Linked DNA regions of Tamandua tetradactyla. The protein of the gene in region 2 purifies or fractionates together with the protein of the main gene of each other region. This does not show direct contact. Links are inferred from orthologs where the notes say so. Each region holds a gene or a part of one and is shown on either strand. Other genes may lie near its edges.

The links.
Region 1: the proteins of MAP4K4 (region 2) and RAP2C purify together in Homo sapiens (affinity purification with mass spectrometry; 3 studies listed by BioGRID and IntAct, counting the BioPlex papers as one, with this or other methods). This does not show direct contact. The link is inferred for Tamandua tetradactyla from reciprocal best matches to the Homo sapiens genes MAP4K4 and RAP2C.

The regions. Positions count from the first base shown.
Region 1 is NC_135353.1:30,358,175-30,365,817, forward strand, and holds the start of RAP2C (ras-related protein Rap-2c), read left to right. Parts: upstream 1-4,557; 5' UTR 4,558-5,022; coding exon 5,023-5,295; intron 5,296-7,643. UniProt on the Homo sapiens protein: Small GTP-binding protein which cycles between a GDP-bound inactive and a GTP-bound active form. May play a role in cytoskeletal rearrangements and regulate cell spreading through activation of the effector TNIK.
Region 2 is NC_135343.1:7,241,447-7,249,578, reverse strand, and holds the start of MAP4K4 (mitogen-activated protein kinase kinase kinase kinase 4), read right to left. Parts: upstream 3,104-8,132; 5' UTR 2,995-3,103; coding exon 2,938-2,994; intron 2,690-2,937; coding exon 2,624-2,689; intron 1-2,623.

The sequences.
Region 1 (7,643 bases), on a different chromosome or scaffold from region 2:
TTAAAAACATAGCTGTTTACTCTTACAGAAAAATTTTGAGAAAGACAGAAAAATGTTAATGGCAATTTTCCATGGGTAATGAGATGACAGCTTTATTTCTTGATTTTTTTTCAATAAGCATTATTTTTTATAATGAGAGAAGTGTAACAAGGAAATTTTACTGTTTTTCGCGTACTCAGGGAGCTTAACGTGCCGGGCAACTGGTGTAAGAGGAGGCAGAATTTGAATGGGGAGATTTGCATCTCAGAGGCTAAAGGGGTTTGTAAGATAACCTAACTGATATCAAAGGGGCTCCAGAGTATATAGACTAAGATTTCTTCACCTTATGGTAAAATTTGACTGTGTTTCTGAAAATCATTGCACGAACAACAGTTACTCTGGGGTGGCAGTTGATACAGAAGAAATGAAAGCAAAATTCTGAGTCTCAAGGGCATGGTCTCTGGAGGAAAAGCCCTCCCCCTCATCTTTGAGCCCTGGGAGTGGAAAGTTATCATTTGAGCAGTTTGTATTTATTGAGCAGTTAGTGTTTGGCAGGCTAAGTGCTTTGAATGGGTTGTCTCATTTATTCCCTAAAGGATCCCTGTGATTTAGATACTGCTATTATGCTCAACTTTACCAAGGAGAAAATGGAGTTGTAGCTAGCAAAGGGCAGTGTTAGTTAGGACTGTTTGACTCCGAAGTCCAAATTCCTTCTACCACACTATGCTACATTTGTTAGTCCTGCAAACACCCTAAAGGGAGTAATGATGGCAATAAAATTCTAAAAATAGCTAAGGTGAGGGTATAAAAAAGTACCAAATAAATTTAAGGGATCAGTATTAATAACAATACTCCTAACTTAAGCGTCATGCAGCATTGACAGGAGTGTGAATTGGTATGACCTTTCCGAAGGTCAATTGGGCAATATTTTCCAGAAGAATTTTAAATGCAAATACCCTTTGTTTCATTTATAGATCTACTAGAAAGTCACTCTAAAGATTAACTGACAAAGCTATATATGCAAGATGCTCATTGCAAAGAATTAAAAGCAACTGGTGTCCTTCAATAGGGAACTCCTCACCCAAATTTTGGTACAGCTATTTAAAAGAATGAAATAGATATATATGTTCTAAAATCACCAAGATATAGTAAGTGGAAACAAGTGAGATGCAGAATGGTGTATGCAGTTTGTAGTGTGATCACTTTTGTGGCAATCTTAAAAGATACATATAGAATGTGGATTGATAGATGCACTGGCAATATAAATAACCTTTTTATTCCTCCAAGAAAGGAAACACAAGGGCTTTTTAAATAGGTATATCTTTGGAAAGAAGTACTGAGTTATTACTTTTATGCCATTCAGAGATATTTGGGTTTTTTTTACATTTTGTTTTCTACCCTGTGCTCTCTGATTAAAAGCAAAACAAACATTTTATTAAGCCTTTTAAATAAAAACCAAATAGCTAGCATTCACTGTGTGCTAAGCACTTTACATGCAATACCTCATATATATTCTCACATGAAATTATCCCCATTTTACAGGTAAGGAATCAGAAGCTCAGACAGTGAAATCACACAGCTAGGAGGTAGGAGAGTTGCAATTTAAATCCCTGCCTGTCTCATTTAAGAACTCTAGCCCTCAATTGCCAGGCCCTGTACCTCGAATTGGTCTTTACACTCTCATGGCCTAATGAAAGTAAACTGGTGAACAACTGGAGTCTAATGAGATAATGTATGTGAAAATAATTTTCTAAGTATAGAGTTGTTTGGGGGGAGGTAAAAAAGGGACAGGGAGTTTGTCTAAATTGAGCAGACCTGTCCACTGACTCCTAAACATTTAGGATATTGTTTTTAGAGGAAGCGATGATCAAAGACTTCCTTTTATTTTCCCTTTAAAATGTTAAAATTATATTTATTGTCTTTTCCCCAATAATACCTGATCATTATTTTAAAATTAAAATGATATGGAGAAAAGACAGTTCTTCCATGATAACCCTCACCCATAATTAACTAGTTTGCTTCAGATTTTAATGGCTATATAATTATTGCATATGCACTGGCACATATTTTACATAAATGGAAGCAACGATATATTTGTTTAGTATCTTTTTCAGTCTCACAATGCATTGTGGGGTTCTTTTCATAACAGTACTTACAAATCTACATCTCTTTTTAAAATAGCAACCTAGTATTCCATTTTGTGAATGTATCCATATATATATATTTTAACATGGGCAGGCACTGGAAATCGAACCCGGGTCTCTGGCATGGCAGGTGAGAACTCTGCCACTGAGCCACTATCGTACCGCCCTTCTCATATATTTTTGAATCATGTGTAGGAAAACATTGAAGTTTATTCCCAAGTCTTTGTTTTCCTAAACAATGCTTTACTAAGAAAGCTCTTCAGGCTGAGTGTGGCACTTGGCGACCCCTTAGTTGACGAGACTGACCCAAAAGGATTCTGTACTGAGGGGAGGAGTATGTTTCACTGTATGGAGAAACAAAGAATTCTCTCCAAACCATGACCAATACATCAGAGATAGTGCATCTGCCAACAGGTGGGATGGCGTCAAAAAGAAGAGCTCCATGTTTTGACAGTTAGGGATAGAGCAGACTTGCTAAGATTGCTAAACCAGTGGCTGGATCAGAAGAGGAATTTCCAGACTCAATTACAAGCAGTGCTGGTGGAGGGCTGTGGATTCTACCAGACAGTCTGGAGACAGCTAGACGGGGAGATGGGCAGCAGAGCTCCAAATCAGGCAACAGCACGTGTGAAAGGAGCAGTGACCTATGGGGAGACTCATAACTCAGAGAACAAACCTTTTCCAGCAGAGGGCAGTGCGTCTGATATGAAGCGAGGTCCAGGCCAGCTGGAGCCAGAGCTGGGGACTTTGCTGGAGAGATTGCGCCAGGCCTGGGCCAAGGAAAAATTGAACTAAACGGTCCTTTGGATACTGTAAGTGACATTGGGAAACACTCAGGGTGGGACACACTACTGTGATTTGCCTATTTTCTAGGGTCCAGTAATTTGGATTTGTCTGTATTCAGTCTGTCCAGCCAAGCTTGCAAGTAAGGGACTTAAAATTCAATTTAACTAGGCTGGCCACCATGTTTCTCAGGTTTCTGGGTGCATGCTTGAATTTAAAAGGGGGGGACCTGCCGAAAATGTGACTAGTCTTCTGATCCTGGGGCTCTGTGGATCTGATACGAAGTTTACAAATAGAAGGCTGTCAGAGTGAAAGCTACGTGAGAAGTAACAATTTTATCTAAAAATAGCAACTTAGTGTCTAGCATTAGTAATTATTTGTTTTTGAATTTCAATGACCCTCAAGGATGACAATTAAAATAAACTTTAAAGTGGGAGAGTCAACAGTGTGAATTGCTCTGCATTTAGATGATCAATGATTAAAGGAAATTAGTCCGCTGACCTAAACAATTTCCAATCAACTGTTCCCTGCATATTGGTTTCCCTTTCTGTTACGTAGTCTTTGACATCAAATAGAGGCAAAAGTGAAGTAGCATACCATGAGTCTGTTTCCAATGCTGTCATTTTGCAGCCTTGTGATAAGAAAGTGAGTGATGGGGTCAAGGCAGACCTGTCAGATGATAAAAGTATTGCGCGTTTCTGTGTTTAATTATTTGCCAGGCACGGCTAAGTAACACGCCCACATGGGAATAGGAAACAATAGCATAGTCTAGGGGTAGTTTGCATGAATTTCTTGGAAAAAAATAACAAGTGGAGGAAATACCAGCAAAGACCATCAACTTTCTCGGCCGTTTTATTTTCCCTGCAACTTCTAGCTCAGAGATTTTGGTCTTCTCCCGGTCGCTGGATAATTAGCTGGTGGTCCCGTGTCCTGGCCAAAGAGAGATGAGTCCTCAGGCCTGGCTGGGGGAGCGTGAGCCGCGGAGGGGCTTCACCCGGTTGGGAGGTGGGACCGTCAACAGCCACGGCTGCGGGCCGGATAGGGGGGACGCTGGCAGTCCACCCAGAGGTCCTTCGTCCCGGCCCGAAACCGTCCCCGACCCGCTCGCCCTCTCGCCCGCTGGGCAGGGCGCGGCCCCAGCGCCAACCGGCTCGCCCCGAAGAGGTGGGACTTTCCCCACCGGAAGTGATCCCGTCCAGTCTCGGGGAACTGGGGCACCTCAGCCAGTGTGTCAGGGAAACCCTTCCGGGTGTGTGCTGGGGGTAGGGGGTGGGGGTGGGGGGGTGGCTGAGGGAAAAAAAAAAAAAAAGAGGTGGGTGAGCCTGAAGTCCCTGCGGCCGCTGCGGCCGGACGGCCCCCCGCCCCTTTCTCCTCCTCTGAGAGCGGCAGCTCTGGGGCGGCGGTGAGACCGAGGAGCCGGCCGGTGGCAATGGCCTTGGCGTGACAGAGCCTCCCGGGCGGGCGGGCGGGCGCGGACGGCAGGGTAAGCGGCGGCGGCGGCGGCGGCAGCCCGGGGCTGGCTGGGAGCGAGGGGTGGCGGAGGTCAGGCGGGTAACGCGCACCCCTCTCCCCCTCGCAGGCCGGACGACCCCCCGCGGGAGCCGGGACCCGGAGACCCGCCCGGGCGGCAGTGACTGGAGCGGAGCCCGCAGGCCAGGGCCGGCTCGGAGGCGCGAGCAGGAAGCGGGGTCCCTGGGCCACTTTTGTGTGAAGGGCGGGGGAGGGGTGCTTCTCGGACGTCCGCCTTCCCGCGGGGGCCCCCTTTCTGCAGCGTCCACCCCCCCCCCCCCCACTTCCCCACGGAGGGGCAGGTCTCGTCTCCCCACCCTCGCTGGCATCTTCCCGGGCTCGCCCTCGTCCCCACGCCCCCTGCCTGGGCTTCAGTTCCTATAGGAAGGGCATTACCATCCCATCCCCACCCACCCCGACACTTCGCTCTTTCCCCTCCCCCTCTTTTAACTTCCTCTTCTTCCCCCGTTGGGCCCTCGGCTTCTCTGCACTCTCCTCCCCAGTTCGCAGATTTCCGCCCACCTTCCGCCTCGCCTAGCCGCACCGCAGCTAGCCGGGTGTTGTCCCCCCACCCCTCCTCTGGTAGGAGTTGGTGAAGGTGAGACTCATGAGGGAATACAAGGTAGTGGTGTTAGGGAGCGGAGGGGTTGGCAAATCTGCGCTTACTGTGCAGTTTGTCACTGGGACTTTCATTGAGAAATATGACCCCACCATTGAAGATTTCTACCGCAAGGAGATCGAAGTGGACTCTTCCCCCTCCGTGCTGGAAATTCTGGACACCGCAGGAACTGAGCAGTTTGCCTCCATGAGAGATCTTTACATCAAAAACGGCCAAGGTTTCATCCTCGTCTATAGTCTGGTTAACCAACAATCTTTTCAGGTAACCAAAACCAAGTCTTGTAATTTGTTAGAAAGGGGTGTGCTAATCCTGCATCTGCTTCTGGTTTGCCTGAAACTGTGCATTAATGACTGTGTTTGCTTTTGAAAGTCAGACATGGGCCATTTTTGAGGTTACTCCTCGCATGGAAAAGTCTCGGGTTGTTTCTATAGAGAGTAGTGCAGTAATAACCGTCAACAAATATCTTAAAGTTGTTTGTAGGTCCAAGAAAAGTGAACAAGGAATAGACGGGCCAGTCCGCCTATAGTTAGCCTGGAATAAAACCTTTTGAAGCTGCTTGTTCAATTCAACAAGTATTGATTAATTTACTCAACAAAACACAAGATTTAACTGATAATCTCCAGCAAATAGAGCACTTTGAAAGGAAAATTATTTGGAGTCCATTATCTTTTGCACAGATAAGCTCTTTCTGTCTGCTTCCCCCTCTGCCTCTATTCTCACCCAAGTTTCTCAACTTGAATCATAAATTTGAGTGCTGCAAGATAAAGAACCCAAGACCTGCCTTCTAGGCATTTTACTTAGAATGTGTGGCAAAAAGGGAAGTTACTAATAGAAAAGACTAGTATCCAGAATTAATAACCAACAAAAAAGCAAGAATGATTTTCTTTTTGTGCCATAGTTCCAAAGTGTTTTTGGTAGCATTGACTATAGAAAATGCAGACTTCTTACCCTGGCTGGTTAGCCAAACTGGATGTGGTCCAGTTTCTTAGGAAAATCTGTCCTGTCCTTCACTGTAAGACAGAGTGAAGGTTTAACATTGTTTTAAGAGCTGCAATAAATGTTGCTATTTATTGCTTGAAAATAAATAACCTCATATTGACCCATTGTATTGACTTCCATTGACTTAGGAAATGGATGTTTTTTCTGCATTTAAAGGTAAGCACTTAATGTTGTATACTTAAGAGACTAAGTGCTTTAGCGGGTGCAATTTACTAATTACACTTTTCTTAGTATTTTTAAGGTACTGTGGCAAACTTTTCCAGTAACTTGACTAATATAGCAACTTCTGAATTTTTTTTAAGATGTTGAGTTGTTAGTAAATGAATCAAAGCTATTGCAACCAAACAAAAGTTCATTTTATGTAGGCTTAAATTCCAAAACAATAGTATCATAAAAACATTTTTCCCCACAAACTACCAAAGTACTAAAGGTGCTATTTGACAGGCTTTTTTTTTTTTCTAAAGGATCCTGGGGAGATTTGTTATTCTATTAGCTGACTCTCTTGAGGCTGGAAATCTCTTGAAGGGTTTTTCATAAGATGTCCATTATATCCACTTCTGTTATTGACATAAATGGGGGGTGAAAAACTGCCATCATTTCAACAGAGACTATTACTCTTTTGAGCCTAACTACCATAAGTTTGGATTCTCAGCTGAAATTTGTGTTTCTGTAAGGACACAGGGAAATAAAGCTTAGCCTAGAAGATTGAATTGATTATATGATCAAACAAAATTGTTGCAAATACCAAATAACAGTATTTGTCCCTAAATTTTCAGTCCCGTTTTTCCTTCATTCTGCCCATGTATATTCTGTGTTTACTGTATCTGTTCAAATTAAACATAGATTTTATATTTATGTCAAATCTTTTGAGATGAAAAACAAAAAAAAATTGTGGTGTAAGGATACAATCTATGATATCATCTTGAATCAATATTTTTTCACCCTCCAAATTGATGCTGCTGGAGAATTGTTAAGACTCTTCTTCTTATTTTTTGTAGTTAAATGGTTTTTTTATTAGAAAAAGTAATACATATGGAAAAATTCAAGTAGTAAAAACAGAGGTATGTGAAGAAAAGTATGACTTCTTTCCACCCCAGAATCCCCCTTCATTGTTCTTCTCAGGAGTTGCTCACTTGAAGTGAATTTAAGTATATTTTAAGATTTTGCTGGGATAAAGGCATACCATTAAATTTAAAATGAAACATTTAAGTGTATTAATCTGTTCTTAATTTTGATCTTCTAGGTAAATTCTAAGGTGTTTTTGTTCCCACCTAAAACACTTTCTCTCAAGTACTCTTGCTAAATGGCTAGGAATGCATAGATGCAGCAAGCCTGTGCTAGGATAACAGGTGTTACAAAGAGTGATGATGACAAGCAGGCAAGAATATGGAAATGGCCAAACATGCTCATGTATGAATGGGTTAATCATATTTGGGGAACTTCCTTTTTGAATTAGTATAGAATGGGGGATAGAAGTGATTATATGAGTCCTAAGGTTAGTATGTAACCTAAGTTTTATATTATTCTCTATATAAATCTGGTAGGTAGGACCTGTAGAAATGATCTAGTTCCTAGTTCAATGGAGAATATTTTCTCTATTTGGGTGTATG
Region 2 (8,132 bases):
TAAATAACAAATTAGTCACACATTTTCCAAACTCTGAGGCTACTCACACTGATGGATGTTTTGCAGCAATTAAAAAAAAAAAGCTAGCGTCTTAATAAACTAATCCCAAAAGCCACCATATTCAAATCATGCCAACAAAAATTCAAACTAACCTCCTATACACAAAAGGTAAATGGTTCTAGAATTTATACACTTAAAAGGAGAAGAAAAGAGACGTTAACTGTCTCTGTTGTTTTCGGTCTCTAAGACTGAGCTTCTCAGTGTTATCAGGTTGTAAGCATTAAAGAACTTCTTGTGACAGTAAGAAAACATTGATGGGACAATTAAGAAAACGGTAACACTGGATATTGGACATGAAGGAATTAACTTTTTAGATGTGACAACAGTATAGTGATTATGCAAAACACAAAAAAGATACATACTGAAGTATTTATGGATGGAATGATATGGAACCTGGGATTTATATTAAAACAATAAAAGGGAGGAGAAATATATATATGAAATAGGATTAGTCATGTGCTGACTACTGTTAAACTGAGTGATCTAGTGTCTATTTGTAGATGCTTGAAAAATCACAATGTTTTTTAAAATGTAACTGCTTTTGAGAATAATTTCAAGCAATATTTTAATCTGGATCATATACTACCTTTGCATCATTTTCTTAATTCCTTTGGTTTGCATAATTAGAAAATTTCTTCTCAGCAGTACAGACTTTATGGTCAAGGAGCTGTGTCACTGCTGAGACCTCAAATACTTTCCAAATGTAGGGCTCAGCAAATCTCCTTCAAAACCTTAGGGGTTGGGGAGGCGGAAGATGGAACCAGAGAGGAAATAAGGAGGGAGGCAAACTTTAACAATGAACCTGTCCAAATCGTTACCATAAGAGCTCCCCTACCCCAACTTCTCAGAACCAATTACTAGACACTTGGGTTCATTCTTTCATTTTCCTTATAGTTTAATAGCAGACTGATGCTTTCTAGCTTACTTCACTGCCCTTTACATCCATGCTAACCGAATAAGATACAAACAATTCCAACTACTGTGTAACCAGATCAAAAACAAGCTCTGGCTAACTCACTTGGAAGAGTACACTCACCACTTAGATTTGGCCAGAAAAACCAAGTTAGAAAAAACTGACTGGCGCTTAAGCAAACACTGGGCATACGGAAAACGTCTTTAAGCCAGTTACTAGGCCACTTGGAGAGTTGCAACACAATCTTTTCCAAAAATTTCCAAACACTTCCAAATTCAGTTGAGCCCAGCAGTTGCAGTTAACAGGGCTCCCTTTCAAATTCAAAAATCTGCTCCCCCACCCCTCGACAGTTAACCAACAAAACACATGGGATCACCTAAAAATACTGACTCAAGTTCAGACCGCAGGCCTGTACAAGGACCATGTCAAGGGAAGTCGAGGCTGGGGAGAAGCCTTCAAGCGACAGATAAATCCTGTTCATAAGGCACAAGGGAGATGATAGGATCCACACTTAATCTGGCCTGAGAAAAGAGCTTTGGTCAGCGCCCAAACCCCTTCCCCCATTCTACTGAGACAATGACAATTCTTCATGGGAAATCACAAAGAGCTTGTTCATATTTTTTTTCCTAGCCCAATCATATACCCACTTTACCAGCTAGCCCTTCCCCCCACCTACAAATCCCTCTTTCCATGCAAATAACTTTTAGAAATTGTTAAGTAATGAGAGGCAAATCAGGGCGGGGAGAATTTAACACCCTAATATTGTCAAGGCTTGCTCTTCCATTGCCTACTGCCCTTCCAGCATCTTTAGAATGTGCCCTGGATAAAATGAACACCACTGTTAGTCACATCTGGTGTCAGCCACTCATCACAGACTCATACTGTACAGATTTGTTAGTTTCGTTTACGGCTGGTGGGTGGGAGGGAAGGGTGTTAAAAAAAAAAAAAAAAGGAGAGAGGAAGACCTAGAATGGGTGTGAAAGCCAAGGCATCCTCCTTGCTCTTCATGCTCCCTCATTTCTGTTTCAACTACACACCTGTCAAACAGGTTATTCCTGGAATTCAGATTTTATCATCCTCACACCGTAATCCTTCCTCCTCCTGCTGCCCAAGCACACACCTCTCTCCCTGCTTCCCCAAAACAGGCATCCATCAGGAGGGCGTCCAAAGGAGCGATCAAGTGGCCACCGTGAACACCCAACTCTGCACCCGAGCAGCTGGCTCGCCTCCAAACACGGAAACGCGATGACAATCTTTAAGAAGGCCCAGACAGTGGTTTAAGAACATCATCAGCACGGCCGGCCTACCGTGAATGCTTAATTAACCCACCACCTCACTAGGCCAGACGCCGAGTCAAGAAGAAAAGCTCCGCAGCTTGTCTTAGGAGAGCTGTTTCTCCATCTCCCCGAAGAGAAGTACGAGCCTAGGAGGGCCGTTTACTTGCTTATCTCAAGGCCAGGAAATGAGGTCTTTCGAGGCCAGTCCCGAATATAAACTCAAAACCTGCGAGCCCGCCGGGCGAAGCCCCTTTGCCTAACTTGGGCCAAGCGGCGCGGCCCCGGGTCAGCGGCGCGGCGGTCACCCGCTCCTCGCCTCCCGGCCAGAAGTTTGAGCACGCCCCGGGAAACAAAGAAGGCGCCCCACACCGACCTTATAGACTTGTCCGTAGGTGCCATTGCCAACCACTTCCACCAGCTCAAAAATCCCAGCCGGATCCTGGAGGGGAAGGAGGGGAGGGGTTACGATTTAAAAGCAAGGGGAGGAAAAAATTGTGGTTTTTTTTTTTGAAGAAACAAAGCGGAGCGGCTGGAGAAAGGGCGGTTCCAGGGAGGTGGGTCTCGCCCCGGGGCCGGTCCCCGCCGGCGGCCGCCCGCGCCCCCCGCACACGCCACCCCGCAGACAAAGGGGCCGCCGCGCCCGCCACGCCCGGACCCCCGCCCCGCGCCCCCTCCGCGGCCACTCACCCGCAGGGAGGACAGGTCGATGTCCACCAGACTTTTTGCAGGGGAGTCGTTCGCCATTTTCCCTTTCTGCCACCCCCGAAGCAGTGATAAAGATCGAGCGGGATTGGCCTCTGCCAGCCGAAGGCCGCGCGGCCGGCCGCGCCTCCTCGCCGGGGCAGCGGGGCCGGCCCGGGGCCCCTGCGCGCGGGTCGGGTCGGGGCGGGCGGCGGCGGCGGCGGGCTGGGCCCGGCTCTCGCGCCGGCTCTGGGCTCCTGCCGGCCGCGGGCCGCGCCGAGGGGCGGACGGAGCGGGCGCGGGCGGCGGCGGCGCTCACACCATGGCGCGGGGGCGGCGTCAGGCCCCCCGGCGGCCCGCGGCCCGCGCCGCGCGCATGGAGGACGCTGCCCGGAGCGTGGGGCCCGGCGCCGCCGAGAGCCGAGCGGGTGCGCGCGGGGCGGCGAGACAAAGCTGAGCCGGGAGGCGGAGGCGGAGGCGGGCTGTGGGGCGGAGAGGGAGGAGGAGAAACGGGGCTCCGAAAATACAGGGTGAGGCGAGCGCCGACAGCTCCCCCTCGCCTCCTCCGACAGGAAAGGCGAGCGGAAACGCACTCACGCCCCGGAGCCCCGCCGGGGGAGGCGCGGGCCGCGCCGTGAATATTCAGCAGGGGTGGGGTCGGGACAATGGCCGGGCCGGCCGGGCAGCGGGGCCCAGTCGTCGGGCGCCCGGGGAGGGCTGGGGAGGGCTGGGGTTTCCTCAGGGAGGTGCGAAGGGGCAGAAAGTGTCCCCGCCGGGCGCAAACAGGCGCCACATCAAAGGAAATAAACTTGGACCCCGACGCCCTGGGGCGGCCCAGCTAGTCCGTCTCTCGGCCGGAGGGGGTGGCCCGCCCGGCGCGGCCGGCCGCGACCCGGGGTGTCACCTCGGAGCGGGGCGTCCTCCGTTCCTCCTCGGGCCCCTCTCGCCCCATCCTCCCCCGCCACCATTGAGTCTACCTTTAAGACCCCCATTTCCGGTTCCCCTACGCCGTTTTCTCTTCCTTTATCTTCCTTTCCAGGCTAAATGTGTGGCGCGGGGGCAGCGCGGGACCCGCTGAGCATCCTTCGGCTCCGCGGCCTCGGGAGACTGGCGGTAGCGGCATCCGAGCAGCGCGGCTCCTGGCCTGTGCTGCGTTCCTTACAGCCCTGGTAGGTGACCGTGAACTGGGTGTGGAGACCCTAAATACTAAATAAGCCATGTTTCAGCAGACGGGTTTCTTTCAGCAATGGGGGCAGGTCGCCGGGTAGTTAGGCAGAATAATCTACAATATATTGCGTGTCCGGGCTCAGCAGTCATCTTCAGCAGCCCACGCCGCTGTCCAAAACCTCTTGGTCCTGGTTAAGCGTGCCCCAGAATCACTTGGAAGGATTGTAAAAAAAAAAAAAAAAAAAGAAAAGAAAAAAAAACCGGGATGCTGGCCTCCAACTCCAGAGCTTCTGATTGAGTAGGTCAAGGTTGGGCCTGTGAATGAGTTCTCTCTAATGAGTTCTCGAGGATGCTGATTTTGAGAACACTTTGAAAATTGCGGCCTCAGGGTGAAAATCCCAGGCCCTTCATAATTGGGCCTTATGAACATCAGCATCATCACCATCATGTTATCTACCCGTCTCTATGCATTTTATACCCTCGCATTGTACTAAACCAATGTCCAGTTTTACCCCTCCTGTAGCCCTGGGGTAAATGCTTTCCCCACTTTAAGGATGAGGAAACCAAAATGTAAAAGACCAAGGAATGGGCCCAAATTCCTTAAAAGATTAGCCAGTAAGTGGAGTTAGGATTCTCACCAGATCAGCCTATTCCCAAGAGCCAAGTCTCTGTTCAGCCAGGTTAGTCTGCTCTACCCAGAGTAAATTTAGCAGTCTCCTGCCTCCCAAGGGTTTGGTTTCCAAAATTTTTGACCATCAGAATCCCTTGTACGGTTAAAACATATTCAGGAATTCCTGATATCCATTGATTAGGGCAAATATAGTAACCAAAATATCCATGTGAATTAGTGCTTTCAAATGATTATTTTAAAATCACTCAACAATATTGGGGTGCACACGTGGTTCAGTGGTAGAATGCTTGCCTGCATGAGGGAGACCAGCCCATGTATCACCCCCCAAAATAAAAATAATGCCATTATCTATGAATATAAGTTAAATAATTTATTCAGGGAGCTAGATTGGTGCACACGTGACCTTTCAGAACATATTACAAATATTATTTCAATAGTGTTTACTTTTAATAATAGATAAAATGTGTTGGGTCCAAACCATGTGCTAAGTCCTTTACATGGATTATCTCATTATTCTTCATAGAACCCCAAATGGTATGCAATATTCTTTTTCCCACTTTACACATTAGAAAACCAAAGTCTGAGGAAGTTGCATCAATTGCTTGGTGTGCATGGCTGGGCACTGCAGAAATGCTTGGCCCCCCAGCCATCCTCCCCCTACAAGTTCAAGGCCGAAGCTCTAAACCATAACATTGGGCCCACCTCCAGACTTACCCCTTCCTCTTTCCCCTCTAGATTCACATCTTCTCCTCAAGCCCAAGTCAGAAATCATTTCTTCCCTCTCCTCTCAATCTGTCTCGTAGGCTACTATTTCCTATGTCACCATTGCGACGGTTATTTCCCCGTCAGTTGAATACCTAGTCTTGTAGTGGCTATTAAGTGTGAGAGTTGGCTTAGCCATTGTCTGAGGCAGAAGGAAAATACCATCAGAGAGCATATAATCTGACAGTGGGAATAAGATCATTTCATAAACCACTGCACTAAAAGGCAGAACGTTTAAGTTCTAGCAAGTTGGAAAGAGCACTCACTCAACAGGTCAAGTGGTTGATGCTTTTCGTGCAAAACTGAATTGTGTTTGAACCCCATTTATTTTATCGGTGGTGTAACCTCGAATACGTTGCTCAATCTCTGAGCCTCCGTTTCCTCTCTGTGTGTTGGATGAAGCTGAGGTAAAAAGAACAATTAAAAAGACTATCATGTGGATGACCAGAGGGTACATCAACTGATGAATGAAAGCATAAACTAGGTGTATACATACGACAGAATATTGAGTGGCTGCAGGAAGGCTGCAGGAAAGAATGAAGTCATGAGGCATATGAGGCATGCAACTTGGTGACTGAATCTTGAGGACCTTATGTTGAATGAAAGAAGCCAGAAACAAAAGGACAGACATTGTATGCTCTCTTTTAAAAAATACATATAAGAAAACTAGGGCCTACATTGTAAGCTCTTAGAGCTATCACATTTGAGCTTTAAGTGTTATTTCTAAATTCTGAGATGCTGTGCTCTATGTGTATAATCTGGTATTTTCATGGAGCTTTGGGTGTTTGTGTGATACCTAAGACTCAGAGTTAAAGTTCTGAAACTGAAAGTCAGGATTACTCCATATAGCAACTGCTAAAGAAGCCAAAAAGAGATCAGACTTCAATTAGAGAAAAGGATGATGCTAATCTGGTTCTGACTAAGGCTAATCAGAGTACAGGGTAAAGATTGATATTGTCTGTATTTTAAAACTTCACCTACTGTGTGAGAACAAAGGAAGAGATGTTTATTTTGTCCAAAACATAAATTTTCTGTAGTACACAATCTAACTTAACCTGTCTAGCCAGTTTGGTTAAATGACCTAAACACATGGAGTCTAAAATAGGGAATAAGATCTTGTAAATTTGTATAGCTTAATATAGCACCCTGATACATTCCAGAATATGCTGGGCAGAAAAATTGACAAAGTCCCCTAAGTGACTGGAGAAAATATATTGAACTATTAAACTTCCCCACCTGGGAAATTCCTGATACTCTCTCAAGCATTAGGGACTCCGTAGTTAATAGGCCAAGCCCTCAATCTTAAGGCTTGCTCTTATGAAATTTATTTCTATAATGGGGAAGCAAAGCCTACCTGTAATCATGCTGAGTCACTTCCAGAGAACCTCTTTTGTTGCTCAGATGTGGCCTCTCTCTCTCTCTCTCAGCCCAACTCTGCAAGTAAACTCAGTACCTTCTCCACTACATGTAGGACATGATAGCCACAGGTGTAAGTCTCTTTGGCAACATGGGACACGATTCCCAGGGATGAGCCTGGCCCTGAAATCATGGGATCGACAGTGCCTTCCTGACCAAAAGGGGGAAAAGAAATGTAACAAAATAAGGTATCAGTGGCTAAGAGATTTCAAATAGAGTTGAGCAGCTATTCTGGAGATTACTCTTATGCAAGCCTCAGCTAGATACTACATATTGCCATGATATGCCAAGCTCCAATCATTAGTATTCCTGAAAACCCTAAAGAACACCCAGGTGTCAGGCTGAGAGATTTCAAACAGAGTTGAGAGATTATCCTGGAGGTTATTCTTATGCATTATATAGACATCCCCCTTTTAGTTTACTGTGTATTAGAGAGGCTAGAGGGAAGTGCCTGAAACTGTAGAGCTGTGTTCCAGGAGCCATGTTTCTTTAAGATGATTGTATAATGATATAGCTTTCACAGTGTGACTCTGTGATTATGAAAACCTTGTTCTGATGCTCCTTTTATGTAAGGTATGAACAGATGAGTAAAAAATGTGGATTGAAAATAAATGAATGACAGGGAAACAGATGTTAAAAAAAAAAAAAGATAAAAAGAATACCCAGGCCCTATCCATGGCTCTATACAAGTTTCACTCACTAAGTTTACTTTTCAGAAACTTAAAATCTCCAGATTGTTCTATGCTAGATACACCCTGAAATCCAGAGATACCAGTCTCTCCAAGAGCATCAGCCAGTTGCATCACCCTACCCCATAATGTTGACATCTCTTTTCATCTTGATGAAGTTAGAATAGTTATTGCCCAAATATCCCTGAAGACTGGGAGAAGGATTAAATGAGAAGGAAGAGTTATAACAGAGAAGATAGGACTTATATAATTGTGACTACTGAATCATTATACTGATATTTCTTGTTAGTATCTAGTATACAGGAATAGCTCAAAGGAAATACCTGAAATTGTAGAATTGTAACCCATACCATACTTTGAAATTTGCTCTATAACTATATGTTAAACCATACTTTGAATTTATCACTTTTCTTCACATTATATCTCACAATAAAAAACTGAAAGAAAAAAAAAGACCATTGCATGGATGGCCTAAGGGTACATTGACTAATGGATGGAAGGGCAAAGTGTGGTATATACACATGATGGAATAGTGA